2 linked regions of the Tamandua tetradactyla genome follow. The protein of the gene in region 2 purifies or fractionates together with the protein of the main gene of each other region. This does not show direct contact. Links are inferred from orthologs where the notes say so. Each region holds a gene or a part of one and is shown on either strand. Other genes may lie near its edges.

Evidence for each region.
Region 1: the proteins of PKN3 (region 2) and ARHGAP26 purify together in Homo sapiens (affinity purification with mass spectrometry; 3 studies listed by BioGRID and IntAct, with this or other methods). This does not show direct contact. The link is inferred for Tamandua tetradactyla from reciprocal best matches to the Homo sapiens genes PKN3 and ARHGAP26.

What each region holds. Positions count from the first base shown.
Region 1 is NC_135346.1:22,966,516-22,982,561, forward strand, and holds the start of ARHGAP26 (rho GTPase-activating protein 26), read left to right. Parts: upstream 1-7,987; 5' UTR 7,988-8,063; coding exon 8,064-8,217; intron 8,218-16,046. UniProt on the Homo sapiens protein: GTPase-activating protein for RHOA and CDC42. Facilitates mitochondrial quality control by promoting Parkin-mediated recruitment of autophagosomes to damaged mitochondria.
Region 2 is NC_135328.1:51,569,615-51,585,286, reverse strand, and holds the start of PKN3 (serine/threonine-protein kinase N3), read right to left. Parts: upstream 6,687-15,672; 5' UTR 6,538-6,686; coding exon 6,514-6,537; intron 6,307-6,513; exon of another isoform or gene 5,389-6,306; coding exon of another isoform or gene 5,374-5,388; intron 4,622-5,373; coding exon 4,393-4,621; intron 4,146-4,392; coding exon 4,000-4,145; intron 3,513-3,999; coding exon 3,401-3,512; intron 3,301-3,400; coding exon 3,173-3,300; intron 2,966-3,172; coding exon 2,782-2,965; intron 1,384-2,781; coding exon 1,240-1,383; intron 1,154-1,239; coding exon 1,044-1,153; intron 927-1,043; coding exon 783-926; intron 357-782; coding exon 281-356; intron 184-280; coding exon 15-183; intron 1-14. Other genes in the region: protein SET, read right to left, coding at 12,315-12,488, 12,573-12,743, 13,318-13,431, 13,543-13,646, 13,977-14,119, 14,766-14,823.

The sequences.
Region 1 (16,046 bases), on a different chromosome or scaffold from region 2:
AATGCTTTCCTTCAGGGTTTATCCATACAATAAGTTTGGAGAATAGCCCCAGGCCAACAGGTAGGGGCCTCCTTGCTCCTTTCTGCATGTGCCTCCTGTCTTGGGCATAGATGTGTAGCCTTTGGAATTTCCCTATTTACATGGATATGAATATCCCCTCTTCCCTAGGAAGCAGTTCCTCATGGTCCCAAGCACTGCAGTGTATGTCCTACCACCACCAGTCCTGGCCCCAGGCAGCACAAGTTGACAGTTCTCCCTCAGTGAGAGCTCTGTAAACTGCTTCTTCTACTTGCAGCACAAGTTCTGGGACAGCATGTCCCTCAGACAATCACTGCACTTGACAGATTGGACTAGAGGGACACGTTCCCAGTGTGTGGATGAGGCAGGTATGGGTCTAGGGACCCACACTGGGAGCATGGGGTGGCTCTCCACCAAGCCGGAGAGGGGCAGGGGATGGACAGGCTCGGACGTCACAAGATCCTACCTCTGTTAAGTGATCTTTTGCTTGATTTGGCACTTTGCCCTGTTCCTGCAATCCTTTAACTGTTTTCTAAAGCTTTTAGAAGGATGTTTCTGCCAGGTCTTGCTGGTTGTTCCTAGCTTCTGAGGGAATGGGGCCCTAAAGTGTCTTAATCTGTATTGAGGGGGGCAGGACCTCCTATTTAATCCTGTGCTCTTCTGTTACATCACCTTATTTCCTTTTCATGCTTCAGAAAGCAGCTTTTCTCAATTGGTTATTTTTGTTCTTTAAACAAATGATCTTGGAAGAAATGTCATCCTTGTCTGGCATTCAGTTTCCTCACCTGAAAACAATGTGATTAACTGGATGTATTCCATAATCTTTTCCAGCTCTAAAGCTCCATGGTTCTGAGATTCCATGAATTGCCCATTCAAAGACAGTTGTTGGTTTTCAGTGAAACTCCTGCTTTTCTCATCTGTTTTTAACCGAAACTGGAGAATTGAAACTCTTAAATCCATTTAGTAGACGCATCTACTATTTTACTTTTATATTCATGGGTATATTATTTGGTCCTCCTCAGTTGCAAAATATTTCCTTACTGTCATTTATAATAACTCTCAGGAACGATAGCCTGAAGAAATAGTTTTGATTTGCTTTTCTTTATTTATAGGTGGGAAACCAGGCTATTCTATTCTCTTAAATTGGCTTTCCTGAGGTCAGTGCTAGAGAAAGGTTTGCGATCTGCAACTGAAATTTCTAATCTTGCTCTGTATTTGTCCACTCATTCTTTCATCTGGTTAGTCCACAGGCTGACTAACCATCTCACGGAAGCCAAATCTGGCCTGCCATCTGCTTTTGTATGCTCATGAACTGACAATGGTAATTACATTTTTAAATGGTTGGGGAAAAAATAAAAAGAATAATATTTTGTGACACATGAAAATTGTATGAAATTTGCATTCTGGTGCCTCTAAAATATTATTGGAACACAGCCACCATGCTCATTTGTTTATGTATTCTTTCTGTCTGGTTTCATGCCATGGTGTCAGAGTTGAGTAGTTGCAACAGAAACTGTATGGTCTGCAAAACCTAAAAGCCCTGTATAGAAAAAATTTGCCAATGTCTGTCCAACATGTATTAATTGTACACCCTTGTTATATACTCAACAGGACACAGGGAATACAGCAATAGATAAGATAAACAGGTTCCTGGGCTCAAGGAGCTGTTTCTATACTTTTAAATAAAAAACCAAACAAACCTGGAGGGACACAGGGCTGTCAAATTTTGATTTTGGTAAATGACATTAAAAAAAAATCAGCTACTATCTTCATTCATCATCATTCTATAAATGAGAAGTATATTAATAATTTAAAAATGAGTATATTAATAACAAAAAATGTAGGAAAGGACGAATCTCAAAGTAAAAAAAAAATTCCCTTTAATGGAATAAATTTAATTTCATGAAAAACTCATTACACTGTCTTTGTTTTTCCAGTTTCACCATGGATTAGAGAAAACTTCCTGTACTGGCCCTGGTCATCAGACCAGCAGTGGGAAGTGTGAGGGTAATTGCTTTTCAGGCAAAACAGCCATTAAAAATATCTACTTTTAAAAATTGGAAAATGTTAGTATTTTAGTGATGGAATGCTTTATTTGAAAGTAAAACAGTCACTAACTAGTTTTATAAGTCAACCTTTTCTATAAATGAGTGCGTGTGATGGAAATATAGTGATGGGAAATCCCAGAAAAGAAATGCAAAGGGAAGTGGGGAAGTACAGAAAAGAAATCTGCTGGCATTCACTCTACCCCAGCAGATGTGACAGTTCTATGCCGTGTTTGGAAGCAAGAGAACCCATTTTAGTACTGCTTATTGGCACTGGCTTCACCCTTGAAGGAAAAGATTACAGAATACTTTCTCTTTTGAATTATTGCCCTCCTCTGTCTACATCCTGCCACCTTTAATAGACGTGGGAACCTACTAAAGCCACAGCATTGCCTCGAAACAACCAGGACCATTTAATGTGAATTCCCATGGAAGAAAAAACCTACCCATCACTAAGGATTTGAAGTTGAATAGTTTTCAGTCACTTTAGAGAGTTTCTTAAATCCACAAAACAAATTATTTACTTTGCAACACCTAAAATGGCAACCAAAAGACTAAAAATTACCTCTTTATGCTGCAGGAATCTGTATATACCTATTCCTGTTGTGCATGATATTGTCCATTTACTTAACATGTTTCATGGAGCACTAACTATGTGGGATGCAAATGTTGGGTGAAAAATAGGATTCTGTGCTCAAAGAAATATAAGAAATATTGAGTTATGCAAAATCACACAGGATTATTTATTGTAGAACTTCTCAGTACTGCTAATATGCTAATGTGCATTTTAAAGCAAACACATGTATTTAAGAAGATCCCAGGCAAGAAAGCAAGGTGCTTAGGATGGCTTTAGTTTAAATTATTTAAGTGAGCTTGTTTATTTGGCTATTAAATCAACAACAACTATAAGAAATAAGCCAACTGTTGTCATTGACCCAGATGATTCTGGGTAGATAGTTTCTTTGATAGTTTCCTGGTTTCATACCAGACTTTGAACAAGTTTATTTATGTTAATAAATTATCCCTTTTCTTAAATACCTTTCCTCGTTTAATACACGTTTTGATAGTTGTAAAGGCAAATATTATCTTTAAATGTTTAGGAAACCATCCTTAAAATTAATGGGTTTTGGGGTGCATGGGTAGTTCAGTGGTAGAGTTCTCACCTGCCATGCGGGAGACCCAGGTTCAATTCCTGGTCCATGCACTTCCCCAAAAACAAACAAACAAGCAAAACAAATAAAAATTCAACAAACGGTGCTGCAATAACAGTATATTCACATAGAAAAATGAAATGTGACCCCGTCATATAGTATACCAAAAAAAAAAATTAATGGCTTTCTAATTTGGAAACTACTTGAGGATGATATATTGATAATAAAATTTAGGAAGAGGTGAAGAGGTGAAACAATAGTTTTTTTTTTATTAGTACATTATTATCCATTAAGGTTCTGTTTATCTATGAGTAATAGAAAACTCCACTCTTGTAGCTTAAATGAGTAGGTTGTGTTTTTCCCTGTCATGTGCTGAGTTGTTGGGAGGTGGGCACTCTGGGACTGCATATTTTGGATGTCACCAAGCCACCTGGCTCCCTCGATCTTCCTATTCAATCATCCTGCATGTGGACTTCAATTTTATGGTTGCAATATAATTGCTGCTCCTCCACCCATCTCATCCACATTCCAGGCAAGAAGAATGGGAGGTGGGCAAAAGGTATGTGCCAGCTGTTTCTTTATCAAGAAAACAAAACCTCTTTCAAAAGCCCACCCAGTAGATTCTAAATAGCCTGAAAAGTGCACATGACCACTGCTAACTGTGTATAAGCCTGAAAAACTGAATTCTTTAGCTGAGTGCATTGAGGCTCTGCTATAAACATAGCATTAAGTTTAAGCTAGACTACTGGTTAGAATCTCAACTCTGCCTCTCAGGTGAGCCATTTCCAACGACGTCATCTGTGAAATGGAGATAAGATAGTAATAGGGTCGTTACAAGGTCAGCTTAGTAAATTTTTTTTTTTTTTTTGGTATGCTGTATGGTGGACATCACAGTTCATTCTTTTTCCACGTGGGTATCCCCTTATTGCAGCGCCATTTGTTGAATTTTTGTTTCGTTCGGTTTTTTGTTTGTTTGTTTGCTTGTTTGTTTGTTTGGGAAGTACATAGGCCAGGAATTGTGAGTAAATGTTTTTAAAGCATTTCGAACAGTACTGGTACATAGTAAATATTATATAAGTATTTTCTCAATAAATAAGTAAGGAGGAGGGGAGAATGGATTTTGGGTAGAAAAGTAGCAGGCATGGATGGAGAGATAGGTAGAATGACACCGCAAATGTGGTAAAATGTTAATATTTGTGGATCTGGGTATGGGGGTCATGGTATGTTTAAGTTCCCTGTATGGGTTTTGCATTATTTTTGCTATCCTGTAAGTTTGACATTATTTCAAAATTTAAAAAGTAGCAGGCATGAAATGAAAATAAACTGTGAAAAAGGGAAGTAACAATATTGCTAACATACAAAACAGAACATGTATGTTACAAGTAATATGAATTTCATTAATTTGTTGAACTAATGAATGTTAAATAAGTACCTTTCATGCTTATTATAAAATGAAGAAGGAATTTATAAAGACAGACTTGTTCTTTCTTCTTTCAAGAAAAGTTAGACTATCATGTCTGCTTCAATTAACTGCTTCTATCCAAGAAAAGTTAGACTATCATGTGGGTTTCAATTAACTGCTTCTATCCAAACGATAGGATCTGGATTTAAAGCCTACACAAATTAAAGATTGGGTAATTATTGATAAATTGATTTGGGATATACCACAAAAGGTCCTGAAGAAAACACATACACTTTAGAATGGGGTATCTCCTTTCTCATTCATGTGTGACCTTATTCCTTTTTAAGGTGATTGGCTATTTATTAATCTTTTAGATATATAAACCATCTTTCATACAGATGCCTTATATGGTGATAATTATTTAAGACATTTGAATTCTAAACCTAGCTCCACCACTAACTATGTGACCTTAGGCACGTTATTTCTCTAAATCTTCATTTCCTTATTTCTAAAATGGGATGGTAACAGTATCTACTTCCCAGGATTGCAGTAGAGCCTAAATGAGGAAATGCAGTAAAGTGCTTAGCAGAGATACTGCTCCACAGCAAGAGCTTAATAAATTTCATCATCATTTACTGTTATAACCACCACCGTCATTATTTTTTTAATCAAGTTTAAGATGCAGTTTATATACAATGAAATGCAACCCCGATGTCAACACCTGGGTAACCATCACCATACTCGAGATGTAGAATTATTCCCATAACCCCCTGTTTGGGTTTGTTAAATCTGCTGGAATGCAATATACCAGAAATGGAATGGCCTTTAAGAAGGGAATGTATTAAGTAACAAGTTTATAGTTCTAAGGCCATAACCATGTCCAAACTAAGGCATCCAGGGAAAGTTACCTTGACTCAAGAAAGGCTGATGGGTGCAGAACACCTCTGTCAGCTGGGAAGACACATGACTAGTGTCTGTTGGTCCATTGGCTTTTGGTTTCAAGCAGCTTCCCGAGGGGTGTTTTCTTTCTGCATCTCCAAACGTCTGTATCTCATACTGGCTCTGTTGGCTCTAAACTCTCTCCAAAAATGTTTCCTCTTTTAAAGATTTCTAGTAAACTAATCAAGACCCATTTGAATGGGCAGAGTCATATCTCCATCTAATCAAAAGGTTATACCCACAGTTGGGCGTGTTGCATCTCCATGGAAACAATCTAATCAAAGGGTCCCACCCTACAATATTGAATCAGGTTTAAAAGAACAAGGCTTTTTTGGGGTATATAACAATTTCAAACCAGCACCCCCTCCCAAATCACTATTTTAAAATAGGAAAACTGCTGTCTTATCCCATAATAATGCAAAGGGGAAGTCACTCTAAAGAAACATATGGTATCAATAACAAAAAGAATGAGTAAGTGCTAACTAGAATTAGAAAACTATGGGATTGTTATAGAAGGAGCATTGATTTTGAGGATGCTGGGTGGCTGGTCAGATGTCCTGCACCTTATAACTTTTGCTGGTTCAACTTTAAAGTCCTCTTTTCCTGCTAACAGGTCCTTGCTTGTCCTTTGGGAGAACAACTCCTTCCTAGTGCTTTGTATGTTTAGGGTGGGCTTATTTCAGCCGTGGCTTTCAGTCTTGTCATTTCTGCTGGAATTCTTGGATAGAAAAGTTCTTGCAGCTGACATCACTGGCTGTAAGCTTGGAGAAGCTGAGGGAGTCACTGAGAAGGAAGCCACACAGAGGAAGTTCAGCTGGAGCGATGGAGAGAGAGAAACCTTGTGAACAAGAGGGTTCGGGCAGGATCCCTGAGGCCATCATGCTGTGAAGAAGCCCAAAGGGGTCCACATGAAGAAGCCCTGAGCTCACAGGGAGAAAGAAAAAGAGACACTGGCTAGTCCCTCCCTGCCTTAGCTCCAGGCACCATGTGGCTGCAATCACATGAGCCATTCCAAGCCAGAACCACCCACCCCAGCCCTCCCCAAATTCCTGACCCACAGTGGTCATGAGAGAAAGTAAAATGATTGCTGTTGTTTTAACCCATTAAGTTTTGGAGTCATTTGTTATGCATCAATAGAGAACTAGGATGCCCGGGATAACAAGGAGCACCTTTAGGTGCTCAAGGTACAGTCATGGACACAATAGATGAGGAACCTATCTTCACGCAGTTTCCATTGCAGATCTTTCTCAGCCTGGCAAGTGAGGAACAACTATTTCAGGATTGTAATTATCTATCAGATGGCTATTTGGGCCTGCAACTAAGCCTGAATTTTTAGCTACATCTAGCAAATAGGTCACGTTCATTGACTCATTTATGCATTTAATCAATCAATTTCTTAACTTATATGGGATGCTTTCTCTGACCCCTTGAGTTAGAACCCTTCACATTCCCAAGCATTCAGCATTCTCTACGCTGGGGGTAGCCCGTGGGAGGTTTTGATAAGGAGTGGCTATGAGGGGGACGGACTGTAGGGGGCGGGAAGGCTGCGGGCAAGCAGAACTGGTAATTTAAATATGCAAGCATTTTCTCCCTGACTGGAAGAAAGAGGGAGTGTCTAGGGACGACGTGGATGCGTGGAGCGCTCGGGGTTCTCCCCGGCCCTGGGGTTGCGTTTTGAGTGCAAACCCGGTTTTCAGCAATGCAGAGTGGGCTGCGGGGAACTGCAGCCCTAATTCCCAGATTTTTCATGCTGGGCACATCCCAGGCTCCTCCGCCCCAGACCAGCAGACAGACCATCTCAGGCTCGGATCCCGGCCACAGCAGGCGGGCAAGGTCCGGAGTGGCGGGGGCTCTAGCACAGCAGCGCGGCTCACCCCCAAAAACTCGGGGTCTGCTCAACCAGGTTGGCGGGAGAGGGCGGAGCTTGTTCTGCGGACCTAGGCGGTGGCGTGGGCCCCACCCCTTGCTTCAGACCCCACCTGCAGGCCTCGCTGATTGGAGAAAACCTGCGGAAGGGATGGGCGTCCCAGAGCGGCCGGGGGGTCGGGCTGAGGCGGGCACGCCGATTGGTTGTGCTGGGATGAGGTCATCGCTAGCAGGTTCGGGCGGTCCGGACGCCGGCGGGGCGGCCGAGGCTGCTGTGAGAGGGCGCTCGAGGCTGCTGGAGAGCGAGCTGAGCAAGGGAGGCGGGGAGGCGGCGGCTGCACTCGCTCGCCCGCCCGCCGGCTCGCTTCCCGGTGCCTTGCGGGTCCGCCGCTGTGATTCCTGCTGAACCCCTCCGAGCAGCCTCGCGCCGCGGGAGCAGCCGCCGGTCTACCGAGGCTAGGCTCGGTTCGGGGGTCGTGCACGCCGGCGGACACCGCGCGGAGGGCGAGCCGGCGCCACACCTGTGGAGCCGGCGGCCGTCTGAGGTGCCGGCCGGGGTCCCGCTGCGTGCGTGTTCGAGGCGGCGGGCAGCCCGGGCCCCGGAGGAGAAGACGCGCCGCTCGGCTGGGCGCTGCGGACACCATGGGGCTCCCTGCGCTCGAGTTCAGCGACTGCTGCCTCGACAGCCCGCACTTCCGAGAGACACTCAAGTCGCACGAAGCGGAGCTGGACAAGACCAACAAATTCATTAAGGAGCTCATCAAGGACGGGAAGTCACTGATCAGCGCGCTCAAGAGTGAGTGCCCCGAGCCCGGCGGGGACGGCTGCCCGGGGGCCGGAGGGGCAGTCGGGAGGCGCTCAGCCCTTGTCGCCCGCGCGCCCTGCGGCGACGCTGAGTGACGGGAGTAGAGGCTTGTGAGGAGACAGGAAGGATACATAAAATGGGCGAGCCGGCAACAATGAGATGAGGAAAGACTGGTCCCGGAGTCGTTTGTATTCTGGGCTGGAGGAGAGGTGACCCGGGCGCGTGTGGCGCTCTCGGGCACCGCGGGTGGGGGTGCGCGGCACACAGGTGTCCCGGGAGTGGGCCGTAGTGCCTGGCGCACCGCAACCTGTTGGCAAACTCTATCGCGTCCGAGACTCTGGCTGCTTTAGGGGAATTGATGATCGTCCCTCGGTACCCATCCTTGGGAATGGGGCGGGCCCTGCCAAAGGGGCGCCGCCTCCCCTCGGGAAAAGGCAGGTGGGGAGTTTCGCGCCGTGTACGCAGCTGCCGCCTGTTCTGGGCCCTGGTTGTCCTCCGACAGGCACAGGCGCTGCCCAGAGAGGAGCGAGGTGGGGTGGTTGGTTAGCCCTCGATTCTTTGGAGTATTGGCAGCCAGTAACCCCCGAATGTAGAATCGGTGCCATGTCCGTGTGCAGAATCTGATTCTTGTGTTTAGCAGAAGGTGATAGGGGTGGGAGCACTGAATCAGAGTGTTCCTTGAAACTATGGGGGAAGGTTTAAAAATAGAATGAACATATTCTGACTTTCTCCTTCACTGGCTTCCCTGTTCTCCTTATTGCCTCTCCCATTAACCTTGAAAACTCAAAGGTTTCTGAAGGGAATATCTTCCTTCCTTACTCAAAGAGAAGTTTAAGTTCATCTTAAAGATTCTCAGACATTTTGTAAAAGGATTTTTGCTTTTTTCCTTTTGGTAGGGGAGAAATGGAACTTGCATCCTGTGTACGGTTTTCCCCTGACTTTTGCAGAAGCTGGACTTTCTTCTTCTGGCCAAATTGAGAGTGATCTAGGGATGAGCGCCTAGGATTGGGAGAATGTTTTTGGTGCTTATTCAGTCTACCAATTTTAAAAATAGTTCAGTTCATATTTTAGTTTTGAGAATCAGGAATAACATGAAGGCAGATAGTGGATTTTTCTTCGACTCTGCCTTTCCTGTCTCTGCGATGGATTCCTTAATAGGTGATATCTTTCAGCTGAGAAAGGTGCATTGGCAGAGTAGGGTCCAAGCTATGAGAATTTTATCTAGGACTTTTAAAAGGAGACTGACAAATCAGATCCCTAAGATGTCATTTTATGAGCGTGATGCTTCTATAAATGAAGAGAGAGAGAGCAGAATCCCAGGGCAGCAAGTGTCAATCTTTGGGGTGAAATGAATGCAGAGCTGTTGGAGGTGATGAGGCATTTTAGAGACAGGGCCTCTGCTGGAGGCTGTGCCTTACCTGAGCATCTGAACAGACTCTTCCTTTGTCAACGACCAGGGAGGACCATGCTTGGCCCCTAGACCAGTTCCTTGGGAACACTGACACCTGTTTTGGAGCCAGTTAGGGGCCCACTTGTATGTTGGGGCCAGGCATTTTGATTGAATCTCTGTGGCTGACTTTAATTGGGTCCTTGCTTCAGCCTACTGTGCCTGCTGTGTGCAGGGTAACGGCACTGGGCACTGGTTCACCTGTGAGTTATCTCATGTAAATTGAGGTTTGGAGGAAGCATTTGCTACAGCTCTGGTGGCAGGGCTTATTTCTGAACAGAAGTTCTGGGCCCTAGATGGAGTTCTTGCAGGGCTCTTAATCTGATCCCATGGACACTCTTGCCCTGAATAGAACACTCTGGACCAGTTTTGCTGGAATGTGGACTTACCTTTCAGTGCCTTGGCTGTGAGTCTGAGGAGGGCACAGTTTGGGTGACTGGTAGTTTTCCTGCTATTTTTTTTTTGAATGAGAATTCTTTGAATAGGAAGAAACATTGAAATGATGGGGTTGGAGGGTTATTTCATTTGTCTAATAGACCAGCCCTGTACTTGGGGGAAAGATTGATTGGACACTAGGCATTCTGGTTGTTCTAAATCCAGCTCTACGAATGTGACCTTGTATAGGTCACGTGATCTGGATCTCTAAGGGCTTCACTTCCCTTATCTTTAAAGATAGGAGTAGAGAGCTGTTTCCCAACTTTTAAGCATTTAGTTTTTAGCTAGAGGCTTACTTCATTGTTTACTACTACATTAGTATTTGCTTATTTTCCTTCTTCAGATCATCTTTATTCATACTGTAAATGGAAAGCCAGTGTTTTTCCAGAACACATTAAACATAGATGCATAATTGTGTACGTAAAGCTTGTTTAGATTATCTGCAGCCTCCTCCAGCTCTAAAATTTTATGGTTTTATTTTATAACTCATGTTTACAGATCTGGGTTTAGTTTCCTTTGTGTGTTAATCAGAGGCAATAAAGCTGACCTCCAGAGATTACCTGGTTCAGCTAGGTCATGTTATTGCTACTTCCACTTTATAAATGAGGAAACATAGGATCTGAAAGACGTCCCTAACCTGCCCAAGGCAATGCAGCAATTAAGTGTATTTAAATACTAGTTGTCTTGTTCCAAACCCTTGTACTTAACCTTAAAGCAACACTGTCCTCTAGGTCAGTGGTTCTTATACATGTTGGCCTCTTGACTCCCTTTGAAAATCTGATAAAAGCTGTGGACTCATTTTACATAAAAATGAATCCCTTGAAGCCTTTCCCTGGAGCTCAGACTTTCTGATGTGAAGATAAGCAATAAATTAATCTGGAACACACATTTCATACAATCCTCTTTTTGGAGAAAGTTCTCATTTGATGTGGGTTAGAGGTTTGGTGACTCTTAATCAGCAGTTTCTGATGCTGTTTTGTCCTAGCCTATTCTTTGGGGGACTCACACTCCCAAGATTCTTTCTTTTGACCTGATTAAAATCTGTCTCAGCCAAGAGGATTCCGTGTGTTTATGTCTGCTTTTCTTTCTGTAGATATGATGGAGACTGGAAATGCAGTTCAGATTTATAGAATTGAGTTTTAGGATTCCCTTTCTCCTTACCCTGAGCTTGTTAGGTCTCCAGACAAGTCCCACACCCCTTGAGGGCAGTAATATAGCCTGGTGTTAACAGAGCAGCCCTGGGTTTGAATTTCATTACTAAACCTGAACTGCTTCTCTGTAAAATGGGAATAGCCACACTGCCCTCAGAGGAGAGTTCTGAGGACTTGATGCAGCAATTCATGTACTGCGAGCACTTAGCTTGGGACCTGGCACATTAGTTCTGTGGGTTAGTGGTAACTGTTATCATCTTCCTTGGAGAAGGGAGCAGCATTCAGAGTGGTCAAGACTCTGTGATTCTCATAGCAAAATTCACTAAAAGCAGAGAGACATTTTTGTTTGTTTGTTTAGGGGTAGGAGGCAGGCCTGTGCCTTCTTCCTGCCAGTTGTTGGTAACTGACTAAGTTGTATGTTTATTATTGGTAACTGACTAAGTTGTATGTTTATTAACTATTCATGGGCAAAATCCTGGTAAGACTGCCTCTAAGCCGTGGTTGTGTCAAAAAAAGCCCTACAAGTTAAAAAGGAAAGAAAAATGAACTTCCTAACATCTCTTCTGTTCCTTCTAACAGTAGCTTAAATTTGCTATCTTTTTCTAGATTAATTCCCCCCACCCCCACCTCTATCCCAGTACCTTGGCTTGCTGGCTCCTTCTGTTTGTCTTGCAAGAAAAGTTCACAGAATGTATTGGAGTTCATATCTGGCTGTCATGGACTCAATGGCAAACCAAATGTGGTTTCATAGAAATGAAATTGCATTAGGTTGTTGCTTTAGAGGGCTGGTGTGGAGTTTTTGGAACCGCGTTTCTTTCCATTTTTGCAGTTGGTTTCTACACTTGTCGCTGGGGTTATGGCCCTTTAAATTTGACTTCAGTTTTCTGAGATGGGGTACCTTTATTCTGATACTCTAAGGTGGGAGAACAGAAATGCAAATTTCTTAATAACAGCCTTTATTGAGATATAATTCACCATATAAAGTATAAAATTCAATGGTTTTTAGTACATTCACAAAGTTGTGTAACCATCACCAGTCAATTTGAGAACATTTTCATCACCTCAGAAAGAAAATTTATATGCTATAAGCAGTCACTCCCATTTCTGCCCAACCAGACCAACCCTAGGAAACTCTAATCTGGCACCATAGATTTTCTTTCTCAATGGATTTGCCTATTTTGGACATCACAAATGCAGTTTTAATTATTTTCTTCTATGTGGTGGTGACCAGCTAGCTGTAGGCACAAAGTTCTTGATTTGAATTTCACGTTGGGAAACTTTGAATTTATAAGCTTTTTGGCTTCAAAACAGGCCTGGGTAGATAGGGCCTGAGGTCTCAAGGTCTGAAATGTGTCCCAGGGCCAGAAGAAAGCAGGTGTGCCTTTCTGTCTGCAACCCGCAAGAGGGGAGTGGATTCGTTCTCGGTCAGGGTACTTTGAAGTATGCAGAAGAGATCACCTAAGTACGAGTGAGAATCCAGCCCCTTCCTTAGTTAGCTTTCATTTATGTTGGGGCAGGATATGTGATACTGAGTAAAAACCTTACTTTGTGGTTATTATACTGCTAGATGGCATCTTTTTACAAAATAAAATGAGTATAGTGAAATTCCTATTTCTGTAATTTAGCCTGTACTTTTCATTGGCCTGTGCTTTTTGAAAATGATGTACCTTTCTCATTACATTCTTGATCATTAGTAATTCTGAGATTTCTGTCCTGCACCGTATCCCTAAGGCAACCATAGTGAGTTTTAACAGAAATAAGTAGACAGTCTTGTAATGATGACAGCAGATCAGGTTTATTGAGCACTTCACCAAGCTCTGGGCTCTATGTTAAGTGATTCATGTATATCGCCTTACTGCTCCTTACCGCCAGTGGGTGAATACTTACTCATCTTTCTCTCCATTTTATAGGTGAGATAACTTGTCTAAGATCACACAGCTAGGAAGTTGTACAACAAAGCTTTGACTGCAGTGGACCACAGGGTGTTTTCTTGAACATTACTTCCATTGCCTTCCATAAAGATGCTGACCATGACAATGGAAATTCTTCACAAATCTAGATCCTAGAAAGAGGAAACATAGGTGCTATATGAAGTGAGAATATTGTCCTAGCTATTTTTCAGACTCTGAGCCCTGGGCAGTGAAGAATAGCTAAGAGTTTGCATTATGCTCTGTTTTTGTGTTTCTAACCCCATCAGGGCCTTAAAGAACCTTTGTCAGTTAGAGAGGCAAATGAGGGGGTATCTCTTGGCCTTGTAAAGCCAATGCTCCAGAGTTTCTCTTTGAGTAGTGCTGAGTGATTATCAGCGATTTGGGGCATTGCCTTTCAACTGAGTAATAAAGTATTGAACAAAGAGGCTAGAAACCTGTTTCTGGATTCTGATGCAGTAAACAGCTCATCCTCTTTGTTCATTAAAATAAGAATAAGAAAATCAACACCAAGGGTTGTATGCTTTGAAGCATGTCACTCTTTTGTGCTTCTTTAGGATTTGGTATGGGCTTTTTGTAATAGCAAGATAAGTCCCTCTTGAATGTCATGAACTCCTCAAGGATGTTCCATGCCAACATGCTTTGTTTAGCAGTTATTATATTACTCATAACGTCCTAATGGGACAAACGGATATTAGGTTAGGTAGCAAAAGAGTTTTTTGCAGTTCCTTTGCTTTGCTTTAGCACCTTGCTAATAAATGAAAAAAGAAGGCACTTCCTAATTATTTGTAAATGGTGTTAATTTGCAGTAGAGACATTTGGAACATTGCATACTCAAATGTAAACAACAACAAATTTAAATCCAAACAAGACTTTGTAGTTTTTATATAACATTGCCTTAAAAAAAAAACCTTCTACTTTACCTCATTCTGTTCTCAATTGGAGTTAATGAATTGTATTTTTACTGAACTTTAATTCCCTCCCCTTCCCACCCCATTTTAAAACCGTAGCCACTGTCGGATCTTCTGTTATGTTCTCTTTTGTCCCAGAGGAAAATTCAGTAGTTTAGTTGGTATAAGTGGTTGATGGGAATTGACTGTGTTAATCAGCAATAACTATCAAGAAAGAATATCTTTCTTCTTTAAACTAGTAAAAAAGATAATTTTCTGTCCCCCTCTTTTTTTTCCCTCAGAAATATCACTAACACTTGGAGTTGACAGATAAATTTATTGTGTGTGTATATGTGTCTCTTTCAAGAACATTATATTTAAGTTTATTCCTGTTAAGGTAGCCATTTGTTTCAGATTAGCATGTTTTGGGAAAGCATGTTTTTAAAAAGCTTTATTAGGTATAATTTCCATAATGTAAAATTAATCTGTTTTAAGTGTACAATTTGAAGACTTTTTAGTTAGATTGCAGAGATTTCATCAGCTAGGTCAAAAAGGTCTTGAATCCCAGAAAGGGCTTTGGATTTCATTCTAAGGGGGATGGACAACCCTTAGAGATCAACAGGGAAGTGATGAATCCTAGCTGTGTTTAAAAAGATCATATTGGCAGCTGTTTGGAGAGTAGATGTAACAAGGCAAGAGTGGTGGCAGGGAGGCCAGCTGGGAAGTTGTTAAAGTAATTGAGGTAAGAGGCACTGGCACCTGGTCCAAGTATCGAAACTGTTGGTCAGATTCTGTGTGTATTTCGAAGTTGGGGCCACAGGATTTGCTGCTGGATTGGATGTGGGGTGGCAGACAAAAGAGTGAAGTCAAAAATGATTCAAAGGTTTTTGGCTTCATCTGCTATGTGGTGCCACTTACTGAGATAGAGAAGACTTGGGGAGGATTAGATTTGGGGGGAAAAATCAAGTTTGCATGAATGACTAATCTTATGGTGCAAAGACAAAAAAATTATGCAAATAGGTCATGAAGACATTCTCATAAAAGAATCAAAAGGTATAGAAGTAGAGTGAAGCACCTCTTCCCTGGAGTTAACCACTGTCAGCAGTTTGGTATGCTTCTTCTTTTCCTACTCCTTTTCTTCTGTGCATGTTTGCTGTTTCATAAATGGGATTATGTTATCTGAATTTTCCTGTGTTTTGCTGCCAGTTAATACTATGTTTTAGAGATCTTCCATGTCAGTACATGTACATAGTGCATTCTTTTGAGTGATTGCAGAGAGTTTTACATAGTTTATTTTCCCAGTCAGCTCTTGAAGGATATGTGTATCATTTCAGTCTTTCACTACTAGAGAAAATGCTGTGTTGATCATCTTGTGTATTCATCTCTGGGTACGTGTACCAGTATTTCCACCTCCAGTTTTTACAAGCTCTTTGACATCCGTTGTTGAGGTCTTTTGCATCCCTGTAGTCAGTTAATATTTGTCCAGTGCTCCACTGGGTTTGGTTATGTCTCTGAGGCTTATCCTTTTGCCCAAGTTAGAAACATCCTGAACAGGCTCTTCTATTAGGCACTGACACTGATCTAAAAGAATCAGGTGGTAGAAAAAAATCTGGTGTGTGTGTGTATATGTATGTGTGAGAGAGAGAGAGCTAGAAAGAGAGAGAAAGAATAATTAATTAGCCTTGGTCCAGTCGGATATCCTTTCTGAGCTTCAGGTTCTTACAGGTAAAATGGGAGATGTGACCATATCTAACAGGCTCTTATTCCAAGCACAAGTTGGAGGGACCAAGAAGGAAATCACATTTGTTAGGGTGAGAACAACAGCATTAGTAGCTAGAGAAATGTTTACAAATTAGGAGTCACTGGGGTTTACACATTTTTGTAGAAACCCAGGGTGGAAAAAGAGAGGAAATAGTAAGGAAAACAGCTTGCAGTGTGGGCCCGAAGCTGTCACAGCGTGTTTATGTCT
Region 2 (15,672 bases):
GAAGAGCTCCTCACCTAGGGGAGACAGGGTCAGCAGACCCCTGGGGCATAGCTGGGGTTCGGGGACATCCTCTCGGGGGGCTGATGGTGCTTGGGGAGCTGCAGGGAGGCAGCAGGTTCATGACCAAGCGCCCCCAGGCTGCCATGCTGAGATTCATCTGGGACGCCCTCAGGAAGTCCCGGCCTGAGGGGCAAAGCGGGGGGTTCAGTCCCAGGGCACCTGACACCCCAGCCCTGCTCCTACACACACAGCCCTCACCCCCCACCCCCCACACACACACCTCTGCGTTTAGAGAAAATGCGTTTCTGCCTTTGCAGCCTTGGTCTCCTCTCGATGACAGGGTCACAGAAGGTCACCTGTGGGGTCAGGGTTCGGGGCTAAGGACCAGTCCTCCCCCAATTATTTGCCACGTCAACTTCTCAGCCTCCAGCGTCCCAGCCTGAGCTCCCAATGTCAATGAATACACGAGCCAGAAGGGGCCAGAAATGGATTCAAGGCCCTCATTGGTACCAGTGGGGAAACTGAGGACCAGAGAAGAGGTGTATGTCCAGGGTCACACATGAAGCAGGGGCAGAGTCAGGACAAGGACGCAGGCCTCCAGAGTCCTGTGAAGTGCTCTTTCCACTGCCCCTCCGAGAGGGGCTGAGAATCCTTCAAACATTCCCAGAGACTCCTCGCTCTGAGCCTCAATTTCCTACCTACAAGTGGTGGGTCACACGGTCTCAAAGCTCCTCTAGCTCTGATAGACCCAGGGCCTGCAAGGGTGGGGGGCCAGTGAGCACCTGGGCAAAGAGCAGCCCCTGTGGCACCAGGCTGAGGGAGAGCTGGTGACAGGCATTGTCCAGGAAATCTTCAAGTCTCAGAAAGGCCACGCCACACAGCTGCCGCCAGTCCCGCCAACGCACCCCGATCTCCAGCTCACGGGCCTACAGTGGAGAAGGCCAGGTTGGGGTATGGGGGCGGGACCCAGAGCACCATCCCCAACCTGGTCAGCCTCCACCCCATGGCCAAGGTTACCCTTAACTGCACAAGGCCAGATTTACCCGCTCCAGGGGGATGACAAAATTCTGGTCCCAGGACTGCCTGGCCACTGGCCCCCAGCTTGTCTGGCCCACAGCACGGTTGTCCACCTTCAGCACAGCCAGCACCTCGCCTGCAGGGCCGGAGTTGGAGCTCAGGGCAGGCTATGAGCAGGGGATCCGTTGTTTCCCCCGACAGCTCCTGACAGCCCCTACTCACTGGCCAGCTCACCCCCACCACGCTGCTTGGCTCTGGCCCAAAGCCAGCCTTCCGAGGGGCTCCCAGCCAGGGCGGCCGCTGGAGAACGTCCAGGCACGGCGGTCAGGAGTTGCTCACAGCCCAGGAGACGGACCTGCAGCGTCCCTGTGAAGATGCACAGGGTAGGTGCGTTGTCAGGTGCCATCCTCTCACCAATGGGCCCCTGGGGACCCCAGGAATGCCATCCTCTCCTGAAGGTGGCTGAACTCAGACCCCAACCCCCTTAGGCCCTGGCAGCTATATGTCATCCTTGGAGCAGAACAACTAGCACCCCTTCTGAGCATTTCCCATAACACTGCAGGGACATACAGGCAGGCAAAGGAGCCAGAGGCTCAGGCCCAAGTCCAGGCCACACAAAGCCACAGTACATGAAAAGATGCCCAAGGACTGGGGCCTAGAAAGCATTAGAGCAGAGACAAGAACTTGGGTCAGGTAACAGGAGGCCTGGCTTCCTGTCCCACTCCTTTCCTGGACCTCAGTTTCCCCATCTATACAGTGGCGATGACTCCCAGCCCCACCCCACCTCCCACAATGGGTGCAAAATGTATTTTGTCAACCAAGAGGATTTATTTTTAGAGTCACTAGAGTTTTGTCTCTCAAAGGGTAGAGGGGGCAGTAGGAATCAAGCAGCTTTTGAGGATAAAAATTGGGCCCAAGTACACAATTTAGGGAGTCCAGGCCCGGAAATTACAGAGACTTTATAAACAAAGGCAGATGCCCAGGGTGGGAAGATTAACTTAGTACAAATGATAGGAGGAGCTGGCATGTTTAGCCAGCAGACAGGATATGAGATGACCCCAAATAGTTGAATTCCAGCCTTTTAACATGCTGTCCCCCCTCTGCCTTCCCCAACTTGTCTACCTGAACAACTCCTGTATGTCCTTCAAGGCCAGACTCAGACACCACCTCCTCCAGGAAGCATTCCCTGATTCCCCAAGGCCAAGTGAACCGTCCTATCCAGCCCTGGTACTTTCCCTTCTCAGCACTGCTTACCATGAAATGTCGTCCCCTGCACACTCTCCAGAACTGGCCAGTACTCCATGCCAGCAGGGGCTGGGCTCTCTATTTCCTACTGTATCCCAGTGGGAAAACTCAGGGCCCAGCACAAAGCCAGTGCTCTTGGATTATGTATTGATTGCAATTGAGCTGCTGCTTCAAGGAGACAGCTCAGTTCTATAAGAAATAACTTTCTACTATTCTGAGCTGCCCAGGCCTGGGACTGGGAACCAGAGTCCCAGAGTTGTAAGCTCACCAACACTGGTGCTTTAACCATTATCATAGTTACCAATGCAAATAACAGCTGCATTGACCAAGGGCCAGGCACTATACTGCACTTCCAACAATTCACTGAATCTACATAGCAACCCTATAAAGTGATGTCCAGGGAGGAGATGTCAGCTGCCAGGATTGGACTACAAAATTCCTCCCCACCACGCTTTAGGGTCCTCCTCCACAAGGGAGGAAGAGCTCTGAAGGTGGGGAAAGGGTGGGAATCCTGGCTACCTGTCATGGCGGTGGGCTTCACGAGTATCCCTGAAGGCTGGAGGTTCCCAGGCACAGCAGTCCGCAGCTCCCGGGCCACCCTGCCACGTAGTGGGTGGGCAGGAGGCAGTCTCTCCAGCAGCTGCTCCAAGGCCAGCCGCAGGAGGTCCAGTTTCTGGGAGGACTCCTGGAGCTGGGCCTGAGCCTGCAGGAGGGGATACAGGCAGGCACAAACCCATGGGGCATCAGGGAGGGGGACACAGCAGTCCAGGCCACCTTGAGACCCCTCCCTGCTTCCTCCTTTCTACTCCAGCAAAGCCATCCAGAGGTGCCTCCCACCACTGCAGAGGGTGGTATGGGGACAAGCAGACCCTCAGAAGGAAGCAGGAAGAGGAAAAGGTCATGGTCTGACCTCAGCCAGTGCCTTGCGGTCCTGTGTTCGCCGGCTGCCAAGCAGCTTCACCACATTTTTAGCACCCTCGGCCACAGCAGCCTCAATTCGCAGTCGATGCCGCAGCTCTTCTGCCAGCAGCTCAGGGCCTGCGGAGGACGGAAGGGTCAGGTAATTCCCTCCCGGCCCAGAGGCCCACACCCAGTCTTCTCTGTCCTGCCCGTCCTTTCCCACTGCTCAAGGCCTCACCTGGCTCAGGGGATCCACTGGATTCCAGGCTGCTGATTTTCATCCGCAGCAGAGCCACCTTCAGCTGGCTGTCCCGCAGCATCTGCTGGACAGCTGCCAGGAGCTTCCTCTCCTGCGGGGCCACGGCATATGCCCCATCAGACCAGGGCTGAGCCAGAGCCTCCTCCTTCAGACCAGACCAGGGCTGGGAGAGGTCAAGCCTCCCCATCAGAAAAGGGCTGGAGTCAGACCCTCCCCATCAGGTCAAGGTTGGTACTAAGCTTCTTCACAGTATCGGGGCTGGGGTAAGCCTCCCCTGTATGATGTGTTCTGGGGCCAAGCTCTCTACCTCAGGCTGGGAGGCAGGACTAGGGCTGGACCTTCTCTACTTGGCCTGGGATTCCCATTAGATTGGTATAGTGCCTTCTGTGTTAGACTAGGGGTTAGAGTTGGGGCTCTGTCTCCCCCATCAGACTTGGGATTGTGTCTCCCCTATAAGGTCAAAGGCTGGGTTGCATTTCCAGAATAGGGGTTACCTCCCCTAATAATTGGGAGCCATGCCTCCCCCATTAGATTGGAGGCTGGGGCTTTGCCTCCCTATCGTACTCCAAGGACCTTACCTTAGGAGTGCCACTGGCGTATGTGTGGGTCATATTTTCAGCCCCCTGCTTCACCTTCAGCTCCACCTGCAGCTGCCTCTGTAGAGCCTCCAGGTGCCGAGCCTTTGGCTGCTCTGCCCATGGCCGGGGTTCTGAGGCTGCAGATTCTATGCACAGAGAATGTGAGGCACACGAGCCCTCCCTCTAGAGGCAAGATTCCATTCCCTCACCCCCACTGTAGCCTAGCAATCTCCTCATCTCCCCTCCAAATGGGCAGCAGCAGGGGATATCCTGAGGAGGCTCAGAGAGGTGAGACAGCCTGTCTGGGGCCACACAGTGGTCAAGGACAAGGCCTAGGAGCCAGGTCAGCCTGGTCCCACCTCTTGAGGGGATCTGCTCAGACCCCCTACTCACCAGCCAGGCTGGGCAGCTGGATGCGGGCGTGCAGCTCCTGCAGCTCCCCATGCAGCTGCTCCAGACGGCGGTTAGAGGATCGCAGCAGCTGCTGCACATGCCCCAGGTGGCGACGGTCTGTGGCCACACGACGCAGGTTTTCCACACCTTCCTTGATCTTCAGCTCCTTCTGGATGGCCCGGCGGATCAGTTCCTTCTCATCCTCTGGGGGCCGCTGGCCCACTCCAGGCTGCAGAAGGACAGAAAGAAGTCAGGCCATACAGCCCCTCCCAGGGGGCACCAGGGAGAGAGAGAAGTAGTCGGCAGCCAGGACAGACACAGGGTTTGGGAAGTTTCTCTGACCTTTGAGCTCAATATCCCTATGCCAGATGGAATTCCAAAGGCTACTTATCCAGCCCATGCTCCTTTCTCTGCCATTCAGAAAAAGAGAAGGGTGAAAAAAAAAAAAACTGCTAATGCTTTGATGCTTACTGGATGCCAGGTTCTGTTCTACAAGCTTTACATATATTAGCTTATTTAATCTTTACAGCAACCCCACTAGGTAGGTGCAGTTATTATCCCAATTTTATAGATGAAGAAACTGAGACAAAGCAAGATTTAAGTAACTTGCCCGATGTTACCCACGGCCATATAGAAAAAGAGGTCACCATCTCTTGGGTCCTAGTCTCTGCCTGCCAAGCACCTTAATCAAGCTGTTTTCTAAATCTGGGCAGGGAGTAGATGGGAAAAGCTCAGCACTGAGAAGGGATTTACCCATGGAGAGGGCAGCTGGAGGCCTGAGTAGGAGGCCAAGGCTTGCTTCCTCCTGGGAGGAAGTATGAGTCTCTCTTACTACTTTACCCCAGGCTGGAACAAGGAAAAGGAAAACCTACGTCCCAGGAGCCATTTCAAACTAATCAGTGCCAAAGCTTTCCTCAGCTCAGAGTAGCCCACGATGCCTTCCCGTGGACTTTTACAGGGCCCCCAGGCCCCTCACCTTACCTCTTGGCTCTCCATCTCCTGAGCCCAGTGGAAGGGGTGACCACCCCAGCCTCAGGGACTCTCAACCCAGGCCTCTGCTGGCCAGCTGGGCCTGGCTCTCAGAGGGCAGGGGCGAGGCTCAGGAAATCCTTTGACCGCCCTAGGAGAGACGGCCAGAGCCAAAGGCCTGAGCAAACAAAGATCCCATGGAGCTGGGGGCCCGGCCACCGGGGTCCTGAGTCACCCTGCCGCTGTTGGGCGGAGGTTCACAGGAAATCGGAAAATGTGTACAAGTCACCGCTGGGACAGGCAGACGGACCTCTGGAGGAAGAGGGTGGAAGAGGGTGGACTGCAGGCCTGAGGGCTCCCTGAGCATTTGGAATCTCTACAATATCCCATGCTGAAGCTGAAACCAAACCCCACCGTCCTGTCTGCTCTGGACTGGAATCTCTCCATATATTCACACACCTCCTTTCTGCTCTGAGTTGGAAACCTATCTTGTACACATTTGTCCCCTCTTATTTGTTCTGGGCTAGGACACCTCTCCATCCCTAAAAACAGACACACACACTGCCTTGGCCTCCGTGCCAAAGCGCACTGATTGCCAGCTCTGCCCAGGAACCCCGCATCCCTCCACATTTGCAACTGGTGCCTCCTCACGCGTACACACACCCCACACGCCTTGTGTGTTCTGCGAAGGACCCCAGAAGTGCACAGGTAGGCCCCCCTCCCTGTGCTCACACGGCCTTCTCCCACCAGGTACCTCTTTGCTTTCCTGGCTAATTCCCATCGGCCTTACATTCTTGCCTGGAGAACAGGTTTTAGGAAATTTTGGAGCCCACCCTGGGGGTCCTGACTGCGGATTCAGACAAGCTCCTAAGCTGATCCGACTAGAGGTTCTGAATCACCCGGAGGGCTCATGTGTGACAATTTCCAAGAGGCAGGAACGACCTAACCCCAGTACTCAGTTCTCCCCTGCGAAGGTGTAGCGGGGATCCCAGGCAAGGGCTGGGAGAGACGCAAGGCGGAGTCAGGGTAGCGACTTTAGGGGGCAGGGCTTGGAGATGCGGCCGAAGCCTGGGGTGCCCGCGGTATGAGGGAGGCTTTCATCGCACCCCCTCAGCCCCCGGCCGCAGCCCGGTCTCTCCCGGCGCCGTTCACCTGCTGCGGCGCCCCTTCCTCCATGGCGCAGCTCAGGCCGTTCGGGCCCCTCCTCTCGACCACTTCAGTTCCGGAAGCCCTGGCCCCTCCGCCAGGACTTTCAAACTTGAAACTTCCCGGGAAGCGGCGCCCAAGAGGCGGGATCGGGCGCCCCCTCCCGAGACTCGCTGGCCCTTCCGGGACCTTGGGATTAGCGCCGCCTCTCGGCTGCGCCAAGGTGCGCCCCCAATTCCACTTCTGAATTCCGAGGCCCTAGTGCCTCGCCCGGCTTCGAAATTCCGCCGGACCTGAGACCCAGGACCCTCTCCTCTGAGCCCAGTTTCCGCTGACACTCACCCCAACAAGCGCAAGATGGAGGAGCAGAAGTCTGTAGCGTTGCCCCACCGAACGCAGAGGCAGGCCTGGGTGGACATAGCACCAGCTGCGACCGCGGGGCGGGGCGCTAAATCGCCACGTCGGGGTCGCAGCCGGTGCGGAGGGCCCACCCCTCTTCCTCCCTGCTCTGCCAGGACCTAGCTTCGGCCACTAACGCGCTAGGTCTCCTCGGTCAAGTCCCTCCGTCTCTGGGTCTTGGTTATTGCGGTGTAAAACGGGTTAATCCCAATCCTGTCGCCCCCACGATGTGATTGGCCCTCCCTAGGCGGTATTAATCACTATAAGAATGCATCTGTGGAAAATAGTAAAACCACACCCAAGTTATAAATTACAGAGCCACTGTTCCACTTTTGCACCACAAAACCCAACTAAACAGAAGTATTCACATCTTGTGAGATGCATTCTCAGTACAGTGATAACAAGCCTGCACGATTTGAGCTGGCACTGGTTTGCCTGTCGAGGGACGGGGGGGATCCCGGTTCTTTGTATTGCCTAGTCTGTTTTTTCACCACTGCTGGGCATAGTGTGCTTACGAGCGAGCACTTTCTGCCAGGTCTTCACCAGGAGCCTCATACAAGGAACAAAAAAGAAATTTAACATCTCAAGTGAGGAAGGATCAAGGGTGGCTTATTTGCTTAATGCTTTCACTGAAGGAAACCACGTCTATTCCATTTTGCTCTGACCACCTTCCTCGCAATGGATTGGAAAAGAAATTTGTAAGCCATGAACAATCCTGGGTTATCCTGCAATGGGAAATCAAAGTGTCATCAACATATGCAGAGGCAACTTGCTTTAGCAGGACATGCCCGTCCAGACTCTGTAATTAGAGGCAAACTGTTTCCACAAATCAGTTGTAGCACTTTAGGCAGAACTAAGACAAACACTGCAGTACATAGAGCACATAGATTCTTTTGGTTTAGCAGGCAAGGTTCTCGCCTGCCATGCTGGAGACACGGGTTCAATTCCTAGTGCCTGCCCATAAAAATATATATATATATATATTTGATGGGTGACGTCACTTCTGGAAGCCAAATAGGGTTACCCGATATAAGTAATTCTCCACAGGAGGGTGTTTCCCATCTTGAGGATCATTTATTTACCTACTCCCTGAGCCTGGGAGCTGAATTATATGGAGGAATAAGATAGCTTTGGGTTTGCCATGAAGTGTGCCACTGCCTCACACATCACACTTGAAGGAAAGTAGATTGGAATTAACTCATGCACCTCTTTTCTAATACACAAAAGCTGGGCAAAAAGCAAAGCTTTCACGGCCTCTATTACGAAAACTACAAGGAACTTAAGTCTTGGGCTGATGGAAGTTTGAGCAGCTAAGTTCATTTATGTGCATTTTATGTTTGATGGTGATGGCAACTTATGGGATTGCAATTCTTAGGAAGACATCCTGTGGACAGTGAATAGTGCAACCTCTCCAGCTGTCAAAGAACCTAAAACTTCCTAGCAGGCTACATAATCAAACTTTCCCCCTTTCCATATACATTTTGTTGGTTTGCTCAGTATTGGAACGTTACCATCAAGTTGGCACACCCCTACTCCACTTTCCAAGTCCTCACTATCGTTCTCATCACAAAATCAGTCCTTTCCCTCAGACTTGTTAAAAATTTAACTTGCAACCTTTCATAAACACAGATACATGTTCAAAAGGGAATGGATGCTAAAGGTGTGCGGAGGACAAACTTTTCAAAATGCAAAACTGCTGCCCCCCTTAAACAATTGGAGTGGCTAGTCCCTCATCTAAAGAACTTGTCTCAGTCTTCAGAAAATCCTCAGTCTTCATTCTTTGCAACAGAATTCCATTTTCCAGCAGCCAGGATTCCTATCCAAATCTAGACCAAAAAAAAAAAGGCATATGAAACCTATTAATGGAAACAGCTGAGACCATGAAACTGTTTTTTGTTATAAAGCAGTAATGATTTATGAATGAATTAAAAAACAATTATTCAGAAATCCTGAAGTCCAAAGGGTCCCCCAAATCCATGCAAGAGTTAAAAAGTCATCCATTTTAGAAACCAAGCAGCTAACACAAGTGAAGCAAGCTGGCCAGATGTAAAGCAAATCTGTTGACCAAACAAGATAACCAGGAACCCTATGGGTCATTTGAATTCTAAATTTTAGAGCCAGAATTGGATATCAACACCTGAGTATTAACCTGCTATGGAAATAGGAGTCCATTAAATGAGAAATCAAATAACCTCAACTGCAGGGATGGTCTGCAACAGATTGTTCCTTAAGGTTTGAATGTAAGAACACATTATAAGTTACTGTCCCAAATCATGAAGTTATTAAATTCCCCTCATAAATGGAGTGATAGCTTCAGGAGTATGTGCTTCCTATTGTCAAACTATCAGGTACATGCACATTGAGCCATTATCAACTCTTTTCAATACACATCTGATTAAAGGCGGACAGAGAACTACCCTTGTATTTCGGTAGAAAACAGTTCTTCTGTAGCAACTTTTTAGGAAACTAAGGTTGTTAACTTTGGAGTGTAGCAGTCTAGCATTCTTTTACAAGATTTATAGACACAAGGGATTCTACAGCTATTTCAATAGCTGGGAGACACACTACCATAAGTAGCTCCACATCTCAATGAAAATGTTTAACCTAACAGCCCTACAATTTGCCATAACATACATTTATGGCAAACTGTCTTTGCAAAACACTATGAGCATTACCTAATGGATATTTAATCTGTTCCGTTTTTCCCAGTGAAAGTCTTCTACATCTAAATACAGAATCCCCTCAGGAACGATTAACTATACTTCAAGATTTAAGTCAGTAATTTACGCATAACTTATAATAGACCAACTCAAGCCTTTTCATTTAGAGCTATGCTACATTTAACTGATACTAAATAAAGGACAGTTTGCCCACCACCCCACAAAGCAATTTCCCTCCAACTCCCCAGTCACTAATGTAAACAAGCCAAAAAATTAAAATATAGCTTACCATCTAAACCCAAAAGCAAGTAACGTTTCTCTACAAAACAAGGAGAATGACCCCAGTCAAAAAAAAAATCTTTAGGTTCCTTTATTGGAGCAAGATTCCTGACTGATTTACAGTGATGTATTTACTAAACAGAGACCTGTGCAGAAAAGTTACATACTATATCCATCTAAACAAGTTTTGATACACTTTGCCTCTTGATGGAATAGTTCCATTTATAAAGTTTTATACATCAAAAGCTTTGAATTTGACCAGCCTGGCCATTCTTTTCTGAAAACTTAAGTGGCAATGATTTTACACCATTAATAGCTTATGCATTAGGTAGCTTCTCAAAATGTCATATGCACAGTGGCATTTAGTAGACCAAGCAGAGTTCATATCACCTAGATTTACAAATGGGTCTCATTTGAGATAGCTTTGTTAGATAGCTGGTACTTGAGACAAAAAGTAATCCAAACCTGAGTTTCTCACCAACAGACTTCCTACAGAGAGAGCCCATCTTCTTGGCCACATTCTAGTGCCAGTGAAGACATGCCAGCAACTGCCCCACATGTAAATTGGCTTCAGAGCACATGGTCTGGCTGATGGTGGTGGCAGGCACTATTTTCATTGTTATATTCAGGTAAACAAGAACCCAGTTAAAAAAAAAAAACAAAAAACTAGAAATTTTAAAAAGGGTACAAACACTCAACTGAATTCTGGGCAATCTGATTTCCACCAATGATGTCAATATTCAGAAACTGATGGCAAATTGTACCCACAATGTTTCCCAGCTTTAGAGACATTAATACATTGACTCAAATCCCTTTACTCAATCCACATAGCCCTGAGGTCATCCTGCAAAGTGCATATCAAAAAATTCGGTTAGGGTGACAAAGTTTGACAAGGCTGTGTTAAACAAGTCAAACTTGGAACATTTTAAAGTTATATCTGTTCTGAGAGAAAAGCATCAAATCCTTTGTGTACACATTTAGTTTTATTGTAACAAAGCAACTTGTACACTTTTAACGTTTAAAACTGAGCATCATCTTTCCTTTCCAGTGAAACAAAAAGAAAATTTAAAAATAAACAGGAACAAAATTACAATAGAGAATGTCAATTCCAAATAAGATCCTACAGGTTCTGCTGATTCTCCCATTGAGTGGCAGGGCTCAAGTCATCATTAGGAGAGAATTTTATTTTAAAAGTGTCATCTTAAACTGCAAGGATGTCCGGTAAACATCACAATTAAACATGCCAAAGGAGAAGCCATGTTGTCAAAATGCCCACTTAACCCACCCAAACATCTCAAACCCACCCTTTGCTGACCTTCTATAACCCCATTTTTTTAAGGTTTTTTTTTTCTTTTTTTAAACAAGAGAAAGTAGACAGATACATGTTGGTAAATGCTAACTGTCCATATTCACATAGAGACACAGTGTAATCTCTGAGCCCAATATACAGAGAAAGGAGGAAAAAAGCTAGAATTCTATGCACTACTACACAGGGGCCTAGCACCCTCCAGCTTCTAGCAGAGCGAAGGGAGCAGAAGGTTTTTCTTTTTTCCCACAGAGCACGGTGGTGTGTTGATTCCATAAAGTTTTTTGTTGAGACAGGAAGGGATAAAAATGAATTTGAAACAGAAACAGGTAGAGATTCTTTTCCCACTGTATTCTGCGCAAGGTATTTCCCCCAAAATAAGTTGTGAACCATGGTGTAAAGGAGAGAAAAGAGACCTCAAAAACAGGGCGACTGAGCACAAGAGGGAAAAAAAAAAAAAAAAAAAAAAAAAAAAGACTGCAACTTGCTCCCAGGGACTGGAGAAAATTAAAAAGGGAAGGTTGGAATCCATCAGTGTTCTATTAGTCATCTTCTCCTTCATCCTCCTGTAAGAAAAAAGTGGGCGGTTAAATCTTCAGGGTTAATCCTACCTAGGGTTACTCACTAGTTTTCATATGCTCTATAGACCATGATGGATTCTATAGGACATAAAGAAAACATACTGCAGGGCACCCAATTTCTGAACCTGTATATCAATCTGTTTCCAATCTACATTGAAAAGGCCCAGTGACAGTGTTTCAGATAAATTAGTAGCTTTTCAGCACTAACGACATCATTGGACATATTCCATACAATTCAAACCAAAATGAAAACTCATCTATTCCAATTTGACTACTTAAGAATCCTGTAGTTTGCAGACTTCTGTTATTTGGGAGATTTCTTAGGACTTTAACCAGCTGCCCTGTCCATCACTTTCATTAAGTATGGGTTAGAGAAAGACAGGCTTCAATTAATTCAAAAGCAGTACTAGTCAAATTATAGAAACAATGAGATTATCAAAATTTTATTGATTCTTAAGACAGAAAATGGCTTGTATTACCCACACAATCAGTTCCGGGTTAGTTTCATTACACAATAAAAGTAAAATGGTGAATTCTTTAAGTAGTAGTTCAATTCTGAAAGGGTATAAAGATTCTACTCTTTTAAGATTTAGCCAATTTTTCTTTTACCTCTCCTTCCTCTCCCTCATCATCATCTTCATCTTCTTCCCCTTCATCCTCATCCCCTTCTTCATCAATATCTTCCAATCCTTCTTCTTCTTCATCATCATCATCATCTTCTTCTCCTTCCCCTTCTTCATCATCCATATCAGGAACCTTAAAAAAAAAGTTATCTTAAGCACTTATTTTTAATCAAATGAGACAAGTGCAACATTAAATGCAAAAGCATTCACCACTCACCAAATAGTATTGTAATGGATTTGGCCAAATATCATCTTTGATGACTTCTCCTAACTCATCTGCACCTGCATCAGAATGGTCAGTAAACCAGGTAAAAAAGCTCTCTGGTTCTTCATGCTGCCTCTTCCTGCTGGCTTTATTCTGTGTTTGACTTGAACGTTTCGTCAAATCCTAAATGAAGATGGAAAGACCTTTTGACATAGGCTCTCTATAACAATAAATTTCCTGTAATTTAAAAAAGTAAATTTTCCCTAAATGCAGAATGAAAAATAAACATCAGTATACTGTCAACACTATTACTGTCTAAGAGATGTTATAGAATTGACAGGAGATAAAGAGCAAACTCTAAAATCCTAGGTCCACAAGAGTGTGTTCTCTTAAGTTTTATGACAAACTTTTCCTAAAGATAAAGTTACAACTAAATTTTTCATAAGATTAGTTCCACTTTCACCAAGTACCAATACACAGTATTATAATTAATAAATATAACTTTAAGGTGAGCATTAACGGATTTTGGAAAAAGGGCAAACCATTTGAAGAGTTCAATTACCAATATGGAAACTCCAAAGTCTGTCTGACTCTCAAACTTCCATTATAATTTTCACAAGACTTCGATGCTTTATCACACTAGCAGTTCTCGTATTTACTGTTTTTGTATTTAGCATATTAACAAAGCAGCAAGAATTGGTAAATTCAACTAAACTAAAATACACAAAATATTCTTGCCTAATCCCTCAAAGCATACCTTTCCAGATTTCCATTTGATTTCAGTTGACTTTGAGGATGGATCACCACTCTCATTCAGATGAAATTCTTTGGAGAGAACTTTATTTTCGAAGTAAGGATTTTCATCAAAATACTAGAATAATCAGAGGATTAGAAATCAATAAAAAACAAAAAAAACCCCACTTCGAACCAAAGCTGAGATTAATTTCCATAGTGGCAAACAATATGAATTACTGATACTTACAAAATCTATTCTGTAACCTGATTTAATATCTTCAAACTCTGTCACTTCAACTCTTGTCAAATAATGCAGTGCCTCTTCATCTTCCTCCCCAAGCAATGCAGACACTAGACCAACAAATTACAGGTCAAGTAAAGTTTAAACAAGCAAACACTAATAACAATAACTTAGTGAGCATCTTTGGTTTCATAGCTCCATTACTAACCGAAGAAAATCAAGTGGTTTTTAAAAGTACCAAAGCTGTCACCATCTTATCAAGTAATCAAACAGTTCCAAATTAAATTACAGTTTAAGTAGATAAAAGGCATTTACTTCAAGTCTTCGCTTTCGAGTGTTTCATCTTCTATATGCAATCTACCATGAGGTCCCTTTACTCATTAACATGTCAGCATCTTCTTTTAGCAATACCCTTCCACTAGCTGGAGGGAAAAACATACCTTGTGGATGGTTGACAAATGTTGTTACCCAAAAATTGGGGATTTTGGCGATCAATTCTGACCTCTTCTGAAAGAATGGTTGGCGGAGTTTATTGTATTTCTGTTCTACTTTCAAAATCTCCTCACTGGCTTGTTCATTAAGTCTGGAGCAAATGAAAAGATATGTTGACAATGACTACTAAACTTTATGAGGCTATAGAATGAATATTCTCATTAGCTTTTTTATAACTACCTATTTCATAATAACCAAATCTAGTTTTTTACAGATGTAAACTCAAGCCAATATTAAGATGGCAATTAAAAAAGTTCAACTTGCTTTACAATAAGCACTCAATAAAACAGTTCTTAAAATTACTCAAACTGAGCACACTGGTAACATTGTATATTTACTTCCATCTACTCTATTACCAGGCCAACTTCAATTGTTTCCGTTAGGCAGGACTTTTTCCTCAAAGCTAATAATCAAGTAACAAAGTTATAAAGCAAGCCAGAGAAACACTGATGCCATAATGCTGAACAGTCAGAAGTCCACAAATTGCAATTCAGGCAATTTGTAGCCTTTGAAAGGAACCCTCATCTTAGCAAAGTCAATGTACTTTCATGAAATATTTTTTTGTAACCATACAAATACATGACAGAAAAATAACAATGAATTTTCAAACCATTTCTAATCAAGTTATACTGGTCTCTCTACCTAAAGGATACAAATTTAATTGACTATATTTTTAACGATTATCAGACCATTAAATACATCTAGAAAATATCTCCAAAAAAAATTATAAACTTTACCTGTCTATTTCATTTTGTACTTCATCAATATGTTCAATTGCTTCCTGCTGTTCTTTTTCTGCAAGAAAAAGTTGCATAAAACTCAATACTAATTAGAAGAAAATACTAGTTTTCCCCGATGTTGAGAAACGCTGTCTATGGTATTGACCTACATCGCAATAAAACGGTTTAATAAAAAGCAAGAAACTGTTTACTATAAGGCATGCTTTCCACGTGTTCATTCAGTTGACAAATTTTTAATTAAAGAGCCATTTGCAAATCATGCTATTTAGCTATGATACTTAGAAAATGTTTTTGACTGTAGCACTTTTAAGAGTTCGATTACTGGGGGGGAAGAGCCAATTATTTAACTTCTATTATGAAAGATGAAAAAAAAAACTCATTCAGGATTTATGATTACTACATTAAATACTTGCTATAGAATACCAGCTGCTGACTAGAAAAAGGAAACCCATTCATGAGACTATCAGCACACCATGGACAGAAGTACTTTTTCTACAAAGCTGAAGATTCTGTCTCAGCATCTATTGCATTAAGACATCAGACACACCTACAAAGAGAAGAAGCCACGCGGAACTACTACACCATCCTAAACACTCTAAATTCTTACAGTAAGTTGAACCCCAGGACTTGAATGTGACCTTTCTCACCTCCCCCCAACCCAATTTCGCACGGACTACTTGCTTCAGATGCGGCACCTCACGGTTTCGGAGCACACAGGGAGCAACTAGAAAGTCAGAAAACTATTAAGCACAGGAAAGGAGGGCAAGAATAGAAACTGTGTTAGGGAAAGGTGTCCTTTTTGTCCTGTAAGTACCGCAAATCCTACAAAGCTAAGTGGGCGTGAAGGGGCTTGATCCGGTGGTTCATTTCCGGTAACCATCCTCGGATTTGCAAGCCACCCCCC